2 linked regions of the Mytilus edulis genome follow. The main gene of each other region encodes a partner of the protein of the gene in region 2 in a complex. Links are inferred from orthologs where the notes say so. Each region holds a gene or a part of one and is shown on either strand. Other genes may lie near its edges.

Region 1 (10,627 bases), on a different chromosome or scaffold from region 2:
ATTACTAATAAGGCCAACTAAAATTAATAAGTAGATTTTCATCCAAATTTTTGAAAAAAATGGGGCGGGTGGGAGGATTTTATTTTTTAAATTTTATTTCATATGAAACCTTCTTGTCATGTGTTATTTATATATGAAAGTGTTATAATAAGCTTATATCATGTAAATACATCCATAAGGTATCGTGTATCAGACAATAACAATCAAAACCAAGGAGTAACCAAAGACCCATAAAACCAAAAGACATTTACATCAACAGTTACAAATAATAAGTAGGAAACAATACGAACTCCACTAAAAACGAGGGGTGAAATCAGGTGCTCCGGAATGGTAAGCATTTCCTGCACAGCATACGGCACCCGTCGGGTTATTTCTTTGTTCAGTTCGGTAATGATGAAAGGTTGTTATGACTGAATCACTGAGACATGATTTCTGACACACTTTTGTCATAATGGCCAATCAGCTCATGATGGCGACCATTAAATTGCTTGAGTGATGACCTTAATTTGATTGATTCATAGCCCTGTCTTAGCAACTTTAAATTTGAGAAAGCAGTATTCCTCGTTCAACAAAATCAACGTACTTTGAGCTAGCTCTAGAGTAACGTATCAATTGAGACACATATACTCCATATGCTGGTTCCGCTTTCTCAAAATTATAAATATATATCTCTGATTGGAAACCACTGTTCTACATGTAATTGCCACTTTAGAAACCTATTTTATAGTAAAGCATGCAGCAGAAATGTGGAGAAATGCTCTAGCTCTTCAGTTGGACTACCTACATCAAATGCATTTTGCTTTCTTAATCTAAGCAATGTTTTGTTGTCCTAATAAAATGAAGCAAATGCATTGGTATGCAACACAAGTACGATAAGTACAGAATAAAATGAACTCAAACAGTGTTTAATTAATAGGGTTGGTCCTTAATGTGCAAGATGCAAACTTAATTACAATGTAGAACATAACGTTGTTTAATGACTCTATCGTGGGTATTGGGACAGAGGATATTTTCTCTATTTTTACAAAAAACGAAATAAAAGCTAAATCTGAATCTAAGAGCTTGCTATGAATTAATAAATTAAAAATGCGTATGTTTGTTGATTTTTTTTAATTCAATATACGGTCACCAATCTAAAAAGTTCATGCTTGTGTCAATTTCTTTATTCCAGTCTAATGTGTTCCACGATTTTAACACTTTTGGGTTTCATTCACAGTCCAAATTTCTTGACACAAAGTCATTGCATAAATAAAATAAATCCAAGGTGTTTTACTCACATACATTTGTGTCATTTGGGACATACGCTACGGCGATTTGCGTTCTTGGACACAGCGTATTACTCGTAACCCGAATATTTCACGCCCTTCTCGTAATCAATCTCTATTCTCGGTAAATGATGTTTTCATCATAGATCAGCAGAATATATCAACTTAATCATTCAGTAAGAATACTCTAAGAAATAAGAAAACCAAAATTTGAAACAGGAAGTTTTACATGAAACGAAATTATCGACGGTTACCGGTAACGGAAATGAACAAAATCCGGAAATCGTATTTTTTTCAAAAGTAAAAAAAATCGGGGCGGGAAGATTTCAGAGGTGCGGGCGGGGATGAAAATCTATCAATTAATTTTAATTGGCCTAAAAGTCCCATATCTCTTGAAAGACAAAAAAGAAAATCCTGAAAATACTAGTGCAACAATAAATGTTCAGGAAAAAGGATCACAACAAAATTATGTTGGAAAATGTCCAATTTTTAAATGTAAAAAGTCCAATAACTCTGGAATGACAAAAATGGAAATTGTCAAAATAGAAACAGAGCTTTTCTCTGTTAGTCTCAAAGTTGTTAAATTTTAAAGAGACTTTATTTAAACAGTAAAGCCCACACATTCCCTTACATTCAATGTACAAAATAAATGCCTGAAGGGATTTTTGAACAGTCTCACATTGTATTGACTCAAAAGAGGAGCTTTAATTCCTTGTCAAATTTCATACATATCAATATTGATTTTTAGTTTTTATGAATTTTAAGATAACTTCTTAGGCTTTAATCTTTTTGCATATTCCGAATATAAAAGCTGAAAATTGGAGTAAATTGAATAAATGATCAAATTTTTATAAAAGACAAACTGATGAAACTTACAATCAGCTGCAGTAAAGTTTGGTAAGGAGTCATAACTTTTCTCTTGTGACATGATATCAGACATCATATTAATATAGTATACAAATGGTGTAACTCTAAGTCCTTTGACGACTATGTCAGACAGATGATACGGGTATAACATCAGATGATCCTGGCTATACTGTAACATATCCATGTAATATCTCTTCTCATCTTTACGTATTGTCTTTACTACAAAAATAATTGTTATATAACAGTTTTAAATAATAAATACTTTAACAACTGACAATGCTTTTATATGTTTATAGCAAGTGCTTAATACTCAGTATTTTTTTGCTTGCAATATAGTGTAAAATGATTGATTATTTTTAATTGTACCCCAAGTTTTTAACTATCTCTATAGATTTGTAATTTCTGTGTGTACAGGACTGCACACAGGTAGGTAAAAGTATAAACAGATGAATTTAAGATGCATATGAACATTTTCTTCATAAAATGTTTCTTCATAAAACGTATCAAATAAATTTCAAAATTAAGATGACATTACAGTTTTAATATTCTGGTTTATTTACTATTTCTTTATTCATATAAATCTATTTCAGAATAAACAAATGAATATTTAAAAACATTTCTTAACAGTGTAAGTATGGAGAATTCTAACATATTTCTATGCTGCAAGTTTAACATATTTCTATGCTGAAAGTATAACATAAACAAGATTGATTAATTGGTGTCTCATGCTATTTTCAGCACTATTGATGACTGATTCATCTTAATTTGAGGTGGAAGTCTGGCCAGGAGAGAACCATAAACCTTTATAATCCTAGTCAATTAACTTTTGTGATTTCATACATTCTTTATGTATTTTAATTATAACTGTTTAAGATCTCATTTGATAGTGTTTTGCAATGGTGATTATCCTGATAGTGATTAGTTATAACATAGGGTTGTTGGTTTTATTTTGAATACATACCAATATTTGCTTTCCATCTTAACTGATTCTTTATACTAAAGGAAACAATGGCTTTGTCATACTCTCTCTGAGAATTTCCCAACACCTGAAAATATTTAACAGTATTTAAAAAAAATTGTTATTTTTGGTTGATTTTTGTACCAAATCATAAAGTAACAACTTATAGTGGAATAAATAAGATTTGTATTGAACACAATTTTTTTTTAATTTTTGCTGAAATTTTTGTAACCTTGAGCATCCCTAATCTTGCAGTGAATGATAAATTATAAAAAGTACTTCACAAAAACCTGTTACTGTTAGATTTTTTTTATAGAACCTGTCATTCAGATAGAAAATTTGTAAAAGATACTGTGATAAAAAATCTACTATGTGTTATTTGAGGTATGTATAATGAGAATCAAGTTTCTTTTTGTTAACTAAAATTTTCTTAATTCCATCAATATCATTCTTGACCTACAATTAATGTACTTAGAAGGACTGCTACAAATGATTCAAACAAATATGCATTTTATACACCATGCATATTGTAGATAGTTTAATGTAGATTAACATATGTAGCGGTTAATACTGTTGCAATTTACGCTAAGATATACCAACCTGTTCAGTCATAATTTTCAGTAGAAAAATCAATAAAAAAATTCGGCCCGAAATTTTCATTGTACTAATGAATTCAAAATCTTTAACTTTTTTTGTAGCTTTTTTTAATTCCTGCATTTGCGCAGAACGCAGAAATCGACTTCCTTTTCCGGTCTCATTGTCATGAGACTTTGAGTAGTCTAGTAAAATATAGGAACTCAAGGAATACAATACCAATTTCATTTTTATAATTCTTTGTCTTTGATATGAATAAACGTTACCTGATGATCGCGTTTCTTTATTTACATTGAACATGACGTCATAAGTAAAATCCCTAACAACAGAACCAAAATCAGAAACGTTACAGTATTTCCGTTTCCTTTTTAACAGATTTTGGAGTTACAAAAAAAGAATTCATTCAGACTTGGTCCCCTTTCACTGTTAATACCAGCCTCATATTTACAACAGATAAGCACCCATGCCAACTTCAACAATGGTATTGAACAAACTAAAAAAAAAACGACTTTAACAAGCGACAATATTGATATATCACATCAAAATAACAAGTTTCAGTGGGGCAGGCAGACAACTGCAAATGGAAGAGTAATTGTTGTATGATGTCAATAGTTAAAACGGCACAGATTTTCAAATCGCAATAAGGAGTATACACCTAATTGCTATTCCTGGCTGACCAGAGAATCTATCCCACTTGAACTATTGATGTCAAACAACAATCCCTTTTCCATTGTGGCGTCAGATATTTTGTATTATGCCGTCTAATTTCATGGGAACCTGTGTGATGTCCGGTAGTGGCGGACAAAAAGCGATAAGGTGTATTGTCATGGAACATTCTGACTGAACAGGTTAAGATATTATTTGCTTTATGAACAAAATGGTTCCACGAAAAAAGCACCAGTTGGAAGGTCAAGTGTGGGACCATATTTGGTAACTCAGTACATACTGATAAAATCCCTGTTTGTGACAGGAGGGTTTTTGGGACTCCATATATTTAGAAGATAAATTTACAAAAATATCATATGGTATTTTATCACACCTGCTTAAGATTTGGTGGCAATTTGGTCCATGGATGATTTTGGCGAATATTATTTTCAATGTCAGCATTCATCTTGATCGTTTAAAAATCAAGTCATCATGTACAAAATTAAATAATTAAATGACTGTTGAAAGACACCCCCATTTTTCTGCCATGTTGTTAAATTGACGGAAGAGATACTTTATTGTTACCGTCTTTTTAATTGGTCAATCTAAATCCTTAGAGCTAATCAAAATTGATTTTGCAGAATGGTCTTTCATTAGCGATTTGTTTACAAATGGCTGACGTTTTGACAGAATATTGAGAACATGGATTAGAAAGGTTGATATTACACAAATGTCAGCTCTTTTAAATTGTGAAAACAGTCATATATCTTAATTCATATTTAAATAGTATCTGTATATATTTTTTTTAAAGCTTTTGAGACGCTTCGGCCTCAAAAACTTCTTCGTCCACACTTGCCACAGACTCGGTCGTTTCGGCTAGAGCTGACATCGGAAGCGGCGATTTGGCCTCTTAATCCGTTCGGTCACAGTCGTTTGGACTGTTTTGGCCACAGATGAGTCCACTCTATTTCTATATGTAGCACTCTATTAAAAGTGCGATTTTGGATAGGTCAGTTTCGAGATGAAAAGTCACAGGACAAAAAGTCACAATTCATTTTTTTCTGAATATTTTCTTTGAATAAAAAATGCTTATTTCTACAAAAATATTTTTGTATTTGTCTTTAACTATTGTAAAAAATCTAACTTTGTAATAAAAAAAATATCCAAGTAAATCTAATAATTGTTAAAAAAAAAAAATGTCAGAGACAGAGTGGCTTGGCACTTAAATGGCTTCATGGTGCCAAGAAATCTTTCTTTTACATGATTAAAATTAAATAAATCTTCATTTTTTTAAGTATAATGACACATTTCCTAATCATTGTCATTAATATGAATATATATCCAGTGGAGTCCCTGGTGTCTGCACGGCCGGTGATACCGTGCATTAGCTGATTTCATCATATCAACAAAGTAACACAAATAAAATTGTTCTTGTTATTGTTTTAGCCCTCCAAAATCTTTCCTTTGTTCAAAATAAGCTATTTTTGGAAGGCATGCGAGAAATCGCCGGACATTCGAGGAACTCTCAGAACAGGGGTTTCCCTAATTTTGGACACACATTCCACAAAATCTGGAAGGTGAAACCATACAAACAGAAGATTTTATGAAATTAAAGTATGTTATGAATGTGTTCACACAATATTATCCAATTATTTGTTTTTATCAGTTGAATGGAGTGAACATGGACGTTACATGGTGAAGTCATAAGTCTTAGGTGTGTGGTTACACCGGACTGCACCGTTTTAGAAAGTAAATATTTCAAGATATTTCTCTTATATACAAATACAAATATTTTATTGGCACAAACTCAATTACAATAATTGGCAATGGCCCATACAACTAGTATACAAATAGTAATGATGCAGCATTTAAACAATACTACATAGAATATCGATAGGCATATTTCAGACAATGAAATGTGCAGTTATAAATATATCAATATATATAGGTTATTTCTCGCTACATTGAAGACCTGTTGGTGACCTTCTGCTGTTGTTTTTTTCTATGGTCGGGTTGTTGTCTCTTTGGCACATTCCCCATTTCCATTCTCAATTTTATAATTTATAAGAATAGACTACTGACATAAGTATATTGTATGTTATAGCTTCAAATTGTTCATATTACTCATTTATAAGGACATTTTTCCTTAATTCAAATGATTGATTAATAAAAGATGATATTAATCTAAGTGTTTTTATGCAGTTAAGCTGCATTATGCGAGCACCCTAGATTTGTGTTCTACCCAATAAATCCTGAAATACTTGCCATTGTTATTATCTAGCTTGCTACTATGTTATATATAACTAATTGAACACTTTTTTAATACTTTTTATTCTGGATTACAAAAATAATGACCAGAAAAACCTTAAATGATCGTCGATTTATCCAAAAGTTTTAAAGTTACACATAGGAAGTAGTGCTTATTAAGAATCCTTGTGTAGTTCATTATGACTTGTGCTTTTAGCTAAGATGTCAAAGAACAATTGTATGAAATATTTAATCGCCGAATATCTCTTAAGACAAGTAGTTTAGATTTCCCAAATGACAAAAGTCGTAGGAATACTGTTTGTCATCAAATACGTAGTACAACTACGTCAGTAGTCTATTATATAATAATTTCAACTGTTCATGCTGTTGGCGGCAATTTCAAATTAGAAAAAGAAATTTTCGTAGCTTTTCAATTTGGAGGCAGGTGTGCAAATTAGCGGTGGTCCGAGGTCCGCGACCTTCCACTTTTGCAAGCGGAATTTCGACTAGGATAGTTGGTTTCTAGCTACGCCCGACGTAGTCACCTTGAAAGAAAATAAGAAATTACTTTGCAAACCTTTTCACCATTTTCACCAAAGTCTCCAATTAAACGAGCTAAAAACTTATTTTTATCATTATTATTCATGATCATTCATGACGGCGATGTTCATTTTGTTCAACCGCTAGCTTTATACAGAAAATCGCCGACAAATATTGTATAAATTCGAGTAAAATCGTATCTGATTGACAAAAACAACATTGCAAACACATCACAATGGCGGCCGTGAAGACAAAATTTTACAAAATCGGATCCGATTCCGGAAGCGGATAAGGGTAATTCCGGGTTAGGCGATCATTTACAAAATAAATCCAAGCAGGTGAAAAATACATCTATGCATGGTAAATGAATATAAACACTAGTATTGTAAACCAAAAGAAATATGTAAAAGAAAGAAAAAGCAGAAAAATATTTTATTCAGAAACTCAAAATTACTTTTTGACAAATTTTAATTTAAAAATCCAATACAACGTGACAGCTGGGAACAGTATATCTAACAATATACATGTTCATGGTCACAGTCTAAATTTTCTTTATAAATGATAAATGATGATAATGCATGTGAGATGCTTTTAAAGTGTAAAGATTACTGCAATTTCGAGGAGTTATTTGTTTTTTCTCAATTTTGAAGGGTCAACTAAAGTAGCTGAAAGTTTCATTCTTTTTTTTTTCACTAATAATGCAACTATATTATATATACCTTAATGTAAGTAAATCATATGATATATAGGTGGCATTCTTTGGGCCACTCTACCCCCTCCTGTTTGATAACTTGGAAACGGTCGAGCTCCCCACCCCTAAACCATATGAGGGGGCAGATCCAGGATTTTAGGTTAGGAGGGGTGCAAACTTAAATTTTCGCTGAGCAGAGCGAGGCTAAAAAAAAATTGAGGTAAAATTCTCGGAATATTCTTTATTAAGCTGAGAACAACCCATGCTTTGGAAATTTGAGTCCGCCCCTGCATATATTCAAGTATAGGACAATATAATAAAGAAAAAATGAAATATAGGGGGAGTCCCTGGAGTTACCCCACCCCCTCCTGTTTGAGGACTTGGAAACGGTCGAGATCCACACCCCTTAACCATATATATATTCATGTTTGTGACAATATGAAAAATCAAATGAAATATAGGAAGAGTTGCTAGGGGTCACCCCACCCATCCTGTTTTAGAATTTAAAAATGGTCGAGATCCCCATCCCTAAACCATATATATTCATGTATGGGATAATATAACAAATCAGATGAAAGATAGGGGGAGTCACTGAGGTCACTGTTCACCCTCCTGTTTGAGAACTTGGAAATGGTCAAGATCCTTACCCCTAAACCATATATACTCATGTATGGGACAATATAACAAATCAAATGAAATATAGGGGAAGTCCCTGTGGTCATCCCAACCCTCCTGTTTGAGAACTTGGAAACGGTCGAGATCCCCACACCAAAACAATATATATTCATGTATGGATCAATATAACTAATTAAATGAAATATAGGGGGAGTCCCTTGGGTCACCCTACCCCTTCTGTTTGAGAACTTGGAAACCAATGAGATCCCCACCCCTAAACCATATATATTCATGTATGGGACAATATAACAAATAAAATGAAATGTAGGGGAAGTCCCTAGGGTCACCATACCCCCAGTGGCGGATCCAGACATTTTTATAAGTGGGGCCCACTAACTGACCTAAGAGGGGCCCGCTCCAGTCACGCTTCAGTGATTCCCTATATAAGCAACCAAATTTTTTCCAAAAAAGGGGGGCCGGGCCCCCTACCCCTACCTGTTTGAGAACTTGTAAACTGTTGAGATCCCCACCCCTAAATTATATATATTCATATGTATGGGACAAAATAACAAATCATTTACATTTACTATGGGCAGGTCAGTCAGACCTCACCTTTGATCCCTGTTGTAGTGAACATTTGTTTTCTTTCCAGGGAAACCAGTCCATTCATACTATTACATGTTCATACTAAGTCAAATTCAACTTCTAGCAGTCAAATAAAACCAAGGTTAACTACCAAGTAGAACAACTGCAATCATTGGGAACTTGTACCACTGCAGATTCACCATAAAAAATATACATTGATACCGTATATGCATTGCTTTTGAAACCTTGATAACATAAATTATTTGCCTTAATAAATAAATCATTAGATAAACATGAATGTACTATATATGAATGTTTAATGTTGAGGCAACATTGCCACAGTTTTCATAATTACGGTTGCCTTGGTTTTTGGTTAACTGCCTTCAGCGCTTACAGCGCTTTGATTCTACACTTGCTATTAAGTAGTAGTTTGATATATTCATCCTCAGTTTTGGATTGTTTGTCATAATTTTTAAAATTGTACAATTTTGATATAAGATCATTTATTTGTGATTCATATTTTGTGCAGTGCTAGATAAAATGTTTTTCATTTTCTATATTTTTTTATGACATAATTTGCACAACCTTTCTTCTCTGTAAACTTGCATGTATCTACCTCTTTAAATTTCAAGATTGTGTGCACTTAGCCTTAGTTTTGCCAAAGGTGCCCTATCTTTCAACATATTCAATTGGTCAACATAGTGTGCACGTTTATTTGAAAAACAAAAATGTTGAAAATTTGATAATTTTGATGATTCTGTAATATATGAATTCTGTTCTTATAAAATTTGGTTATGAATTCTGTTCTTGTAAAATTTGGTTATGAATTCGTTGTTTTATTTGAGCAAGAGTATAGGTGTAATAGGTACATTAAAAGATGTTAAATACGAGAAACCCAGATTATGGATACATTTCTTCATATTACTTGTCCATAGGTTGTTTTCTCTTGTTTGAATAAATATGTCAAAATTTTAGCTTTTAAGGGGAGTCTACCAAGCTCACTGCGACATGCATGGTTGGAAGTTTTACAGTGAACCCCAAGAATTTCTTTCAGAAATTTTATATGAAACTTTTCATATGGTTCATTCTCAGTATTTTTTTGAATTGATTCAATACCCCAAACTTCACTTCCATATAATAAAATTGGAAGTACCATTGTATCAAAAAGTTTTTCTAAAAGTCTACATGAATTGTTATGACTAAGAGATTTCTTTATTTTGAATAGAGCTTTTCTAGCCTTTTCCATCAATAAATTGGAGGCAAGATTAAATTTACCATTGCATTTTAAAGTTATCCCAAGGTAACAATATTTATCAACTGTCTCAATATAATATTTGTTGATAGTAAAAAAGTTTTGAAATAATTTGCCGTTAGAATTGAATATTAGGACTTTTGATTTTGTAGAATTTACTTCCAGCTTCCAATCTGTACAGAACTGAGCTAGAGTGTCAAGACTACATTGTAGTCCTTCTGGACTACTTGACAATAGTACCAAGTCATCGGCATATAACAAACAATGAATCTTATTATCACCAATTAGCACAGGGTCTGTGCTATTGTTTTTAAAATTTTCAACAATATTATTAATAAAAATATTAAATAGCAAAGGGCTTAGAACAT
Region 2 (10,721 bases):
ACGAAAATAACGCCTTTACCACCCTCTTAACAGTATCATATTACATAACTTTCTGCTATATAGATCATGTTATCGCACTAAATAATTGAAAAAATGGTGACTATGTTGAACGCATCTATCTCATCGGACTTGAGGAGGGGGGGGAAGATACCGCTAAGTCTGTTTCATAGGTACCAATGCACAGTTGGGATTTTAGTTTCTCATTTTGGCAATGGTTGATTTTTTTAAAATATGAAAGTGTTGTACAAGAAAATTTATTTTAGATAGCTGAAGAAAAAAGCCTTCAAATTGGGTTTATATGAATATCAAGATGATAGCGAATACGTTCCAAATGTCGTAACAATACGACCACCCCGTCCTCTGTCCTCCGATGTGACCTAACGAATTACACTTATTACCGTTTTTTTAATCTTCTTTTTATCTTAAGGTGTGTGCTCCCTGAACCCGCCCTGACAAAGTCAATGCATCAAAATATTTTAATTACATGTCATAGTGATCCATAGTGCTTTGTAATATGATTCGGTCTAAACAGCCATTATACTGAAATAAATGTTAAAACAATATTCTCCTGACTTTGGACAAGCACAAACACAATGCAGATGAGTTAAACTCGTGACCTGAGACAGTAGTCTCATACACTGATGTTATTTTTTGATCGCACAGAGGGGTATGTCTTGTGGGATGTAGTTGTCTCATTAGGTAATCGTATACAACATCTAAAACAAAAATAGATAAAAAGGTAAATAATTTACAACAACGACAACAACGTCTTGGAAACAATAGACATATATTAAGACATTAGAATTTTATTTCAAATTTATTTCAAAAGTTTCCAAATCGGAGAAACCAAAAAATAGAAAATCTCTTGTCTGGATAATGATCAATGAAGATTTAGTTTTCAATACAGATTTTAATCTATGATACCTAAATAAAAATATCCAGACCAGACAAGAAAAAATAGACAAAAGTTGGGATAAATAACTAGAGTTATTCCTCTTTGTACTGGCTTTCTCCTATCATGTACATATTCTTTTTAATATCATGGTATCCAACAAATTGTCGGCATTCCTATGGGAACAAGCTGTGCGCCTCTTCTTGCCTACCTCTTCTTATTTTCTTATGAATCAGAGTTCCTCCAGACACTTGTCAAAAACAAGAGGATCAAAGAAGCCAGATTATTTAATTTCACTTTCAGATATATTGATGATGTTCTTTCCATAAACAATCCGAACTTTTCTGATTGGGTTCCATTAATATACCCCACAGAACTAGAGATTAAAGAAACAACAGGCACGGCTTCCTCCGCCTCATTTTTAGACTTATATCTCGACTTTGACTTACACAGTCATCTCAGTACCAGAATCTATGACAAACGAGACGATTTTAATTTTGAAATTATAAATTTCCACCACCTTAGTAGCAATATACATGTAACAACTTCACCTGCATATGGGATATATATTTCCCAACTTATTCGATATCCAAGAGCGTGCAGCTCCTACTCAGACTTTGTAAAACGTCATCAGTGTCTGAGTAGAAAGTTGATGAACCACGAACCAGGGGTATGTCAAAGAACGTCTCGTCCTTTTTCTAAAAAAAAGTTCATCGGAAGGTACCAGGACCTTGTTGATAAATATTCCGTATCAACTTCACAAATAATACACGATTGTCTTGATGTATATAGATTCTGCGTACTGATGTTGTTTATCATCTTAACAACGTGTTTTATAGTTCTTTCGTTTGCCTTTGTTCTTTTAACAATATTTCTTTTACTGTTGAATGGTTTTATGTGATATCCGTTTGACCTGGCTCGGTACTTATACATCTCGACAATGTGTTTGTATATTTCTTTGGTTCTTATAACGTGACTCTGTACTTTAACTGAAGATCCCGTCAGTATGATATTATTGTTCTAATTTATGTCATTATGATATATTTCTAAATATGAATAACAAAATACGTTGAACCACAAACGTCAAAATCATTCAATGCGTAGTGGAATTAACTATTTGTGGATTCTTATAAATTCTATATATAAATGTTGGACTATTTTAAATCTCGGGTCTATTTCTGAAATTTATACTTACATACTTTTGATTTTTTAACCCTGTATGCTAACATTGCCTATGTAAATTTTAAAATTGTTTGTATGCACATTGAACGACAAATTTATGTGACGTATAAAATTTTCTGACGTCAGACACACAAATCAATGAATGTATTTGTAGATAGATGTTTTTGTGTTCTATTAAATTGTTCCTTTTAAAATTGTTATACGATGATGACTGATGTACCCATATTTAGAATATTGTATTTATTGTGTCTGTTTAGTTAACGCATCAATGTAAATATAACGGAATTTGATCAAGACTGTCGGCAAAGTGAGAGGGTTCAGCGCTATAAAACCAGGTTTAATCCACCATTTTCTACATTTGAAAATGCCTGTACAAAGTCAGGAATATGACAGTTCTTGTCCATTCGTTTTTGATGCGTTTTGTTATTTTGCCATGTGATTATGGACTTTCCAAATTGATTTTCCTCTAAGTTCAGTATTTTTGTGATTTTACTTTTTTCCATTAGTGTTTAAAATCATATTTAATTATTAACGATTGCATGTGCTGTTTGTTTGGATATTGTATGCACTTTGTGATTTGTGTTGATTTATATGCTCTTTGATTAGGAATCAAGATATTTGAATTTGAACCAATTCAATTCGGTATTTAATTTACGTCTCCCAGACCGTACTGAGTATTTGGACCGTACGCGTACGGTCTGGACCGTATGCGTACTTTTTCAAAATACTCACACGGTCGGACCGTACGCATACGGTCTGGCTAATATTAAGAAGTTGGTCAATATAAAAAAGAAGATGTGGTATGATTGCCAATGAGACAACTGTCCACAAGAGACCAAAATGAAACAGACATTAACAACTATAGGTCACCGTACGGCCTTCAACAATGAGCAAGTCTATTAGATACAAATGCATATAACAGATCAACATAACTTAACTCTCAAATCATAGTAATATAAAATAGTTCAATTGTAATTGAAAAAACCCTTTATATTTTAACTTTTTTTAAAATTTAGGCTAATTTTAAATCTGTTGATCTCTTGTATTTTAATAGCATGTCAATCTATACATTTATTGAATTATGATCACTAAAATTGAAGATATCAGAAGTAAACATAATGTGGGAGGACAATTGTTTTAGACAATTTAGCAACCGTTTACAAAAAAAATGCAAATGCAAAGGAACATGCATGAACTGCAAGCTTGTAAATGTAAAAAATATTACGTATCTTATGTCACCTTAGGCGAGAGTACCAAAATAGGATTTAGATATACAATTAAACAAATATTTAATTTCAAGTGTTCGTTTGTTCATTTTATCCATCTTATTGCAATAAAAACAATTTGTAAAATTAAAAATAAAGATTGTGATAAATATGTTTTTTTTTAACCCATATGTATGGAACGCCGGAACTGCCTTATGTTAAAAACTTTCATTATATGATGGTACTTTGACATTATACGATGGCACGTTGACATTATACGATGGCACTTTGACATTATACGATGGTACTAAGACATTATACGATGGTACTTTGACATTTCATGATGATACTTTGACATTATACGATGGTACTTTGACATTATATGATGGTACTTTGACATTATACGATGGTACTTTGACATTATATGATGGTACTTTGACATTATACGATGGTACTTTGACATTATATGATGGTACTTTGACATTATATGATTGTACTTTGTCATTTTGTCTATACCAATATCGAATACATTGAGCAAAATTATACGATGGTACTTTGACATTTCATGATGGTACTTTGACATTATACGATGGTACTTTGACATTTCATGATGGTACTTTGACATTATACGATGGTACTTTGACATTATACGATGGTACTTTGACATTATATGATGGTACTTTGACATTATACGATGGTACTTTGACATTATACGATGGTACTTTGACATTATATGATGGTACTTTGACATTATACGATGGTACTTTGACATTATACGATGGTACTTTGACATTATATGATGGTACTTTGACATTATACGATGGTACTTTTGACATTATATGATGGTACTTTGACATTATATGATTATACTTTGTCATTTTGTCTATACCAATATCGAATACATTGAGCAAAATAGATAATGGAAACGGTGAATGTGTCAAAGAGACAACAACCCGACCAAAGAACAGTAAATAGCACAAGACCATGCACTAATGGGTCTTAAACACAGCTGGTGTGTTTTTTTAAATACCACGACTGCACCATATACACATGCATACTCTGACTGTACCTTAGAAATACATTGAGATATATTGTCTCAGCTATACCTGGTATTGTTTTAGTTGAAACATGCAGCTTTTAAAGTAAAATTGAATTCAATACTTGAAAGAAAAGAGTTATAGACAATTCCACCTGAATTAGTTTAAAGTATACTTGAGGTCCAAATACGAAAGTTGCATGATGACATTTGAAAATTAAACTACCGTCTATATCATAAAAGTTATATTTGATACTGGACGTATGAAGTTACTTCTAGCAGTCTACCGGGCGATTGCATTCTGTGTTATTTATTTACAGGTCATCCGATCGTATTGTCATCCGAGTTAGCAGTACGTAAGTGCTTTGGTCTAGGATATGTTGCCAGTGGTTATACCATGTCTACGTGGTCTAGGATATGTTGCCAGTGGTTATACCATGTCTACGTGGTCTAGGATATGTTGCCAGTGGTTATACCATGTCTACGTGGTCTAGGATATGTTGCCAGTGGTTATACCATGTCTACGTGGTCTAGGATATGTTGCCAGTGGTTATACCATGTCTACGTGGTCTAGGATATGTTGCCAGTGGTTACCATGACTACGTCAAACAATCAGTACTCCCAGACACAAAACAAAACATTTTTGGAGTAATACATAGGTGGGGGTGCTATTTATTTGGACGATCAATGCATTTGGGGATAAATAGTTGGAAAACCCAGCCCCCAACCTTTTTATCGGTGTTGGGAACCCTCTTTTAAAAATGACTGGGTACGCCCCTGCTATTGCATTTACTGAGATTAACGTTTAATTAATTGGGATTGTTGAGTGTAAGTTCCAGCTACTGCCCTTAAAAATGTTCTAAAGTTATTGTTCGAAGTCAAAAAACTTCGTTAGTATATTTTGTCTTTATTTATACAATATACAGAAACTATGTAGAAAAAAATAACTAAGTCTTTAAATAAAACAATCAAACTTTTGGCAAGTTTTCCACAGGCCACTTAGCTTAAAACCTATTGAGAACACGTTCTTGCAAAAACAGGAATGGACCCAGGAAAAGTTAAAGGAGGAGTAGAGGGGATAAACTAGGATAAAAGTGACACGCCTAAAAATGGGCGTCTTTTGTCTAAAGCTGCAAGTATATGAGTCACTGGCCTCCTTCCTTTCCGTTTTCAAAAAGTATTGGAGGGGCCATAAAATATAGTGTGTCCTGAACCCCACTTTTGATAGTACCCGGCGGACACACCGCCCACTGCCCTAAATCCGCCTCTGTTACTTGCCGAAAATGAAGAAGAAAAAAAACAACGATCGCATAAGGGAATCACCAGTTAACATCAAGTGGGTATCTTTTTTTCTAAAAATAATCATCTGATCACGAATTTGAAGCAGATGACAAATTAATTTATTCTTAATCTAGATTTGCCCTTTACCTTATAGAAATTGAACAAAAATAATTTGATTGATAGCTTTGAAAAACTACCAAAAAAATGTTCGTTTTACGCGAGAAAAAATATCTCTTCAGACAAAAAAACATAACGTGGCCTTTTTTTCAAGTTAACTCCCTAAAACAACAGATTGAGGGGTTAATGCATGGACATAAAGTCACAGGACGAAAAGTCACAGGACAATAAGTCACAAACAATTTGTTGACAATTGTTTGAATCTGAGACTACTATAAATATACAAGTGAATTATCTTGAAATATTTACTTTTTAATTCATATAAAAGTTTAGGATATGTGTTCATGAAAAATACAAAAATGTTTTGTAAAAATAAGCGTTTTCTTACTAAAGAAATTATTCCGAAACTAAAAAATAATTGTGACTTTTTGTCCTGTGACAAGTCACTTTCTGTCCTACATTCTATTGCACTAAGTCAAGTAATTAATTTGAAAATAAATATATATATAATGTAATTTTATTCACAATATATACCCGGTATTTGGTTTTTAGCTTGATTCTGACCAATGCTTATATTCCAAATTTATATGATATGCCGCTATTATTGTTGTTATTACCAATAGGGTAAATCAATTGTATCTGATTTTATGCCCTTTAAATGGGCCCTTTAATTTGGGAAATAAAAATATTCTATTCTATTCTATTGAGGACATGACATCCCGGTCTCAGTGGCCCCCAACTAGCATTCTCCCTCCACACGTATCTGTCTTTTACAATATGTTTTATTCATTTCTACCGTATGCATACCATCAGAGACATATAGGTCTATGATAATGTATTCTATTTCTCTGATGATTAATTGAAAAAAACTTCCGGAGATGTGTCCGTTAATGTTTAAAAATTAGTGAGTCCTTACACGTCAACTATGGCGGAAGTGTCAGAAGACACAAGTTGGTAAATAACAAACTATAATATATTAGATAATTAGTAAATTGGTTCATAAACAATTATATGCCATATCACGAATCATAAAAAAAACATTCATGTTTCCCATTGATAGCACTAACTTGTAAAACCCTACAGGGTCAAGTCATATGCAGTCAGAACTGACTGCTAAAAATACATTGAACAGTAAAAGTGCTACTGTCTAGATAAACATGACGTCCTCTAGCCTATAAAGACTTGTTGTTTTTTTCGACTTTTTAATAATTGTCTCGCAAGATGGGATGGACGCATAAAATAAAAAGAGTATCAATGTGACATAATTGTGTGGAATATCAAATTTCTGCAGTTAGGTAGCAGGTCAATCTATATTTATTTTGAAGAAAAAAGTGTAACTAGTATTAATTCTCGTATTTATATGCAAACTGATGCATATAGTTAGAAAATCTAGTAATTTTAAAAGATCTGACACATACAAAATGTGCTAGGTAGCTGCAGTCCAAACAATAATTAAGGGAACATTTATAAGGTTTCATATATGGGGTCAAAAAACCCTGTTTTGATGCGTTAAACTTTCATTTAATGCGTACATTCTTATTTTAACGTGATAAGTGATTAAGGACGATAATATTAAAAATGTGCTGAAAATCTGTAAACTTTATCGCGTTAATTGACAAAGTAATGACACATGTAGCCAAATAAAGGCTAAGCATACGCACTAGAAAACAATGTGATCCTGAATTGGTTAAAAGCTTGAAATTTATACCACTTTTATTTTACTTGTTTAACTTTGAAAGTAGTGTGAAAAATCAATTATCGATCCCAATTAAACATGAAAAAAGGCTTCAAAGTATTTTAATATCTTGCATTTTAAAATGCAATTTATCTGTGCTTTAAAGACCTTTTTTCTTGTTACATGTATGATCATAACTAACAAAGTGTTTGACTGCTTTTTAGGATAATAGATTTAGAGACAGCTTTGGTAGATGAGTGTGACTACGGAACATTGAGAAATATTTGTAAAAATAGACCAGTGCCAGCACACCTCCGTGCAGAAGTTTGGCAGGTAAATTTTAACGCAAGATTGTCTCTTTGTCATCTTTTAGGGTTGATCAATATAAACATACATCAGACTCAGGGGAGGCAACTTTAACATAAGAGGGTGTAAAATATTATGCTTAAATGTTTGTAAGGATTTTCTTATCCCAGGCATAGATTACCTTAGCCATATTTGGCACAACTTTTTGGAATTTTGAATCCTCTATGCTCTTCAACTTTGTACTTGTTTGGGTTTATAAATATTTTTGATTTGAGCGTCACTGATGACGTCTGGCATACTAAATTATAATCCTGGTACCTTTGATAACTATTGTAAATTGCTTATATCATATGGGTACATATAGATACCCAATTTTGAAAGTGCCTCAAAAAAGACACAATGTTTGTTTTAACACAACAGCTTTAAAAAAGAGACTTCCTGAATTTAATAATGCATTATGCATGATTTTTTTTTACATTTCTTTGTCAGTAAAAAGAAAATATTTTAGCTGTGATATTTGCGGTATACACAAAAATATTTGTTTTTGAGTTACATGTAATTGGAGTATTAACTGATATATCAAATGGACGGAATAGTTTTTTTCTTGGAAAACAAACAATGATTTAAATAGGATATATTTTCTGGTGCGGTAATTTTAATACTTTTGGCAAAGAATGAATGTAAGTTTTGTATCAAGTTAGTAAACTTTTTCATTTATTTTATAGATATGTTTAGGTGTACATGGTAAAGGAGATTCTCTAGCAACATTTGATGGATTGTTTGATTTGAAAGAACAGGAACAGATACGACAGGATTGTAAATCACTTATAGGTATGGATATATATTATGGAAAGATGTTAAGGGGACAAAACTCTTCACTGCAACAGGGAAAAAATTGGTCAAAATAAACTGAAACATTATAAGAAAATAGTGATGGACAGGTACAAATGTCTTATATATTTTTACATGATGACCATAATCAGAGCTTCTGGAAGTTTGTCATCAGGCTTCATTTGAACAAGGGGGCCCTCAGTGTCCAAGTGGTCTAAGTAGTTCTACTACTGTAATCACTAGCCAGTCAACACTGAGGTTGTGAGTTCGAACCCTGCTCACATAGGTACACTCGACTCCAATCTTATTGACCAATAGTGTCAGTTTTCTTATAAAAGGTCATGATTTTCTCCAGGCACTTCGTCTTCCTCCACCAATAAAAACTGACATCCACAAAATAGCCCAAAAATGGCTTTTGAAAGTGGAGTTAAAACAACAACAATCAATCAATCATTTGAACAAGCACACTGTGATGTATTTTCACATTTAAAGCTTGTCAACTTCCTACTAAAATTGGAGAAAGTTACAAGGGAGTTTTATTATAAAAGTATCAGTGAAGGTATGCTTTGTTTATTTTCAGATAAATTTGGAAATGAAGATGAAGAAGATAAACTTACTCTAGTGAGTGACCTTGAAACCATTATAACCTTTTACAGCAAGTCCCGTAATGAAACTTACAAATCAGAATGTGATTGGCTAGGAGTAATTCAGCCTTTACTAGCATTGAAATTAAGCAGAGCAGAAATTTACAATTGTTTTTATGCCATTTTGAACAAATTTATTTCAAGGTGAGTAGATTTGTAAATATATCTAATCTATCTTATGAAATGCAAATACATGTAGTATAATCAGATTTTATTGTTTAATTTTTTTTAGTCATTTATGGTCTAACCAGTCTCAAACTTTCAAACCAAAACAAACGAGATGATAAATAAGGTTTTTTTATCTCACAAATTCAGGTATAACCCGATAAGTTTATAATTATAGTTTCTCTAATTCTTACATGATTTATCCCTTTCCTGACATGTTGATTATTTTTATTTAATCAACTTGTGGATTGTTTGATCTCAGTTCTTCATTGGTCAAAATTTGATTATGACGTCGAATTTTCTTGCTTTCCTCTGAATTTCCTCTGACAGCATGAAAAAAGGCGACCATGCCTGATGACGTCACATAGAAAGAACACATCTTTTTGCAGATCATTTGAAAAGAAGTATTGAATTTGTCTGCATATGGTTTAAAAATCATAAGAGAAACAGATTCAACCACCAAATCTTGTGTAATACAATATTTATCCATTCTCGACAGTTAAATTTAAAATATTTAAAAAGCTTGGCAAGCCTTGCGTTTTAAATGTCTCGAGTGGATAAATATCGTATCACACTCGATGTAGTGGTAGAATCTTTATTTACAGGTCCAGTGAGTTCAAAACATGTATCATTTCTTATTCTGGAAATTTGGTGAGTGGGAGTTGGGATATGGACTTCAGAGTTGAATGAATTTCAAGGATTGATGAATGTAAGGAAATAGAAATTTTAACCCATCAAACATTTTGTTGATTGATAAGCCCTTACCTTATGGATTGATTTTATGAAAAAAGAAGATGTGGTTTGATTGCTAATAAGACAACTCTCCATGATAGAGCAAACAACATAGAAATAAACCACTATAGGTCGTAGTTTGGCATTCAACATTGAACAAAACACACATGTGTTTTATTAGTCCGAGATTACTTTGACGTCCAACGGGTTCCACGGCCCCAGCTTCGGCTTGTCTGGCAAAACAGCTGTTGGACGTCAGAGTAATCTCGGACTAGCGTTTTATGTGATTTATGAATTTTTATGTGACCATCTTCTAAAATGTATTTAAAAAAAAGAAGTAAATGCTTGATTTAAAGTGGTTATTATACAGTTTAAATTTTCTAATGTATCATTTATTTTTATTTCAGAGATTGCGAAAAGAATGGAAAACCATTCCATTTATTTAGGTTACTGCTACAGTACCATGACCCAGAACTGTCTTCATTTCTGGACACAAAAAGAATTACTCCTGATACTTATGCTCTACCCTGGGTAAGAAATTGTGAATGTGTCCAAACAATCAATTAACAAATAATATTATTCCACTGTTTGGTAAATTTGACGTTACACTCTGTTTAAGAAACATTTCAATACTTAGTGATACTATTATTATTGT

Evidence for each region.
Region 1: the proteins of TBC1 domain family member 23-like (region 2) and protein FAM91A1-like are in contact, whole or in part, in a crystal structure (PDB 8JJ9), measured with the Homo sapiens proteins. The link is inferred for Mytilus edulis from reciprocal best matches to the Homo sapiens genes TBC1D23 and FAM91A1. Residues at the interface, in NP_001186127.1 of Homo sapiens: Arg533, His534, Val535, Ser536, Ser537, Asp539, Val541, Gly542, Lys543, Pro544, Tyr545, Arg546, Val548, Pro550, Val551, Phe552; in NP_659400.3 of Homo sapiens: Arg49, Glu60, Arg61, Tyr64, Asp84, Ile85, Lys88, Gly89, Leu90, Arg91, Ile92, Thr93, Phe95, Ser96, Ile159, Pro161, Tyr176, Ile177, Thr178, Glu179, Asp181, Ile182, Lys190, Asp194, Ile197, Asp198, Tyr216, Asn217, Lys218, Gly219.

Annotation. Positions count from the first base shown.
Region 1 is NC_092344.1:95,392,663-95,403,289, forward strand, and holds the start of protein FAM91A1-like, read right to left. Parts: upstream 4,908-10,627; 5' UTR 4,796-4,907; coding exon 4,724-4,795; intron 3,179-4,723; coding exon 3,094-3,178; intron 2,352-3,093; coding exon 2,142-2,351; intron 1-2,141. UniProt on the Homo sapiens protein: As component of the WDR11 complex acts together with TBC1D23 to facilitate the golgin-mediated capture of vesicles generated using AP-1.
Region 2 is NC_092348.1:58,052,900-58,063,620, reverse strand, and holds the start of TBC1 domain family member 23-like, read left to right. Parts: upstream 1-6,553; 5' UTR 6,554-6,638; coding exon 6,639-6,667; intron 6,668-7,612; coding exon 7,613-7,721; intron 7,722-8,419; coding exon 8,420-8,525; intron 8,526-9,105; coding exon 9,106-9,313; intron 9,314-10,473; coding exon 10,474-10,597; intron 10,598-10,721. UniProt on the Homo sapiens protein: Putative Rab GTPase-activating protein which plays a role in vesicular trafficking. Involved in endosome-to-Golgi trafficking.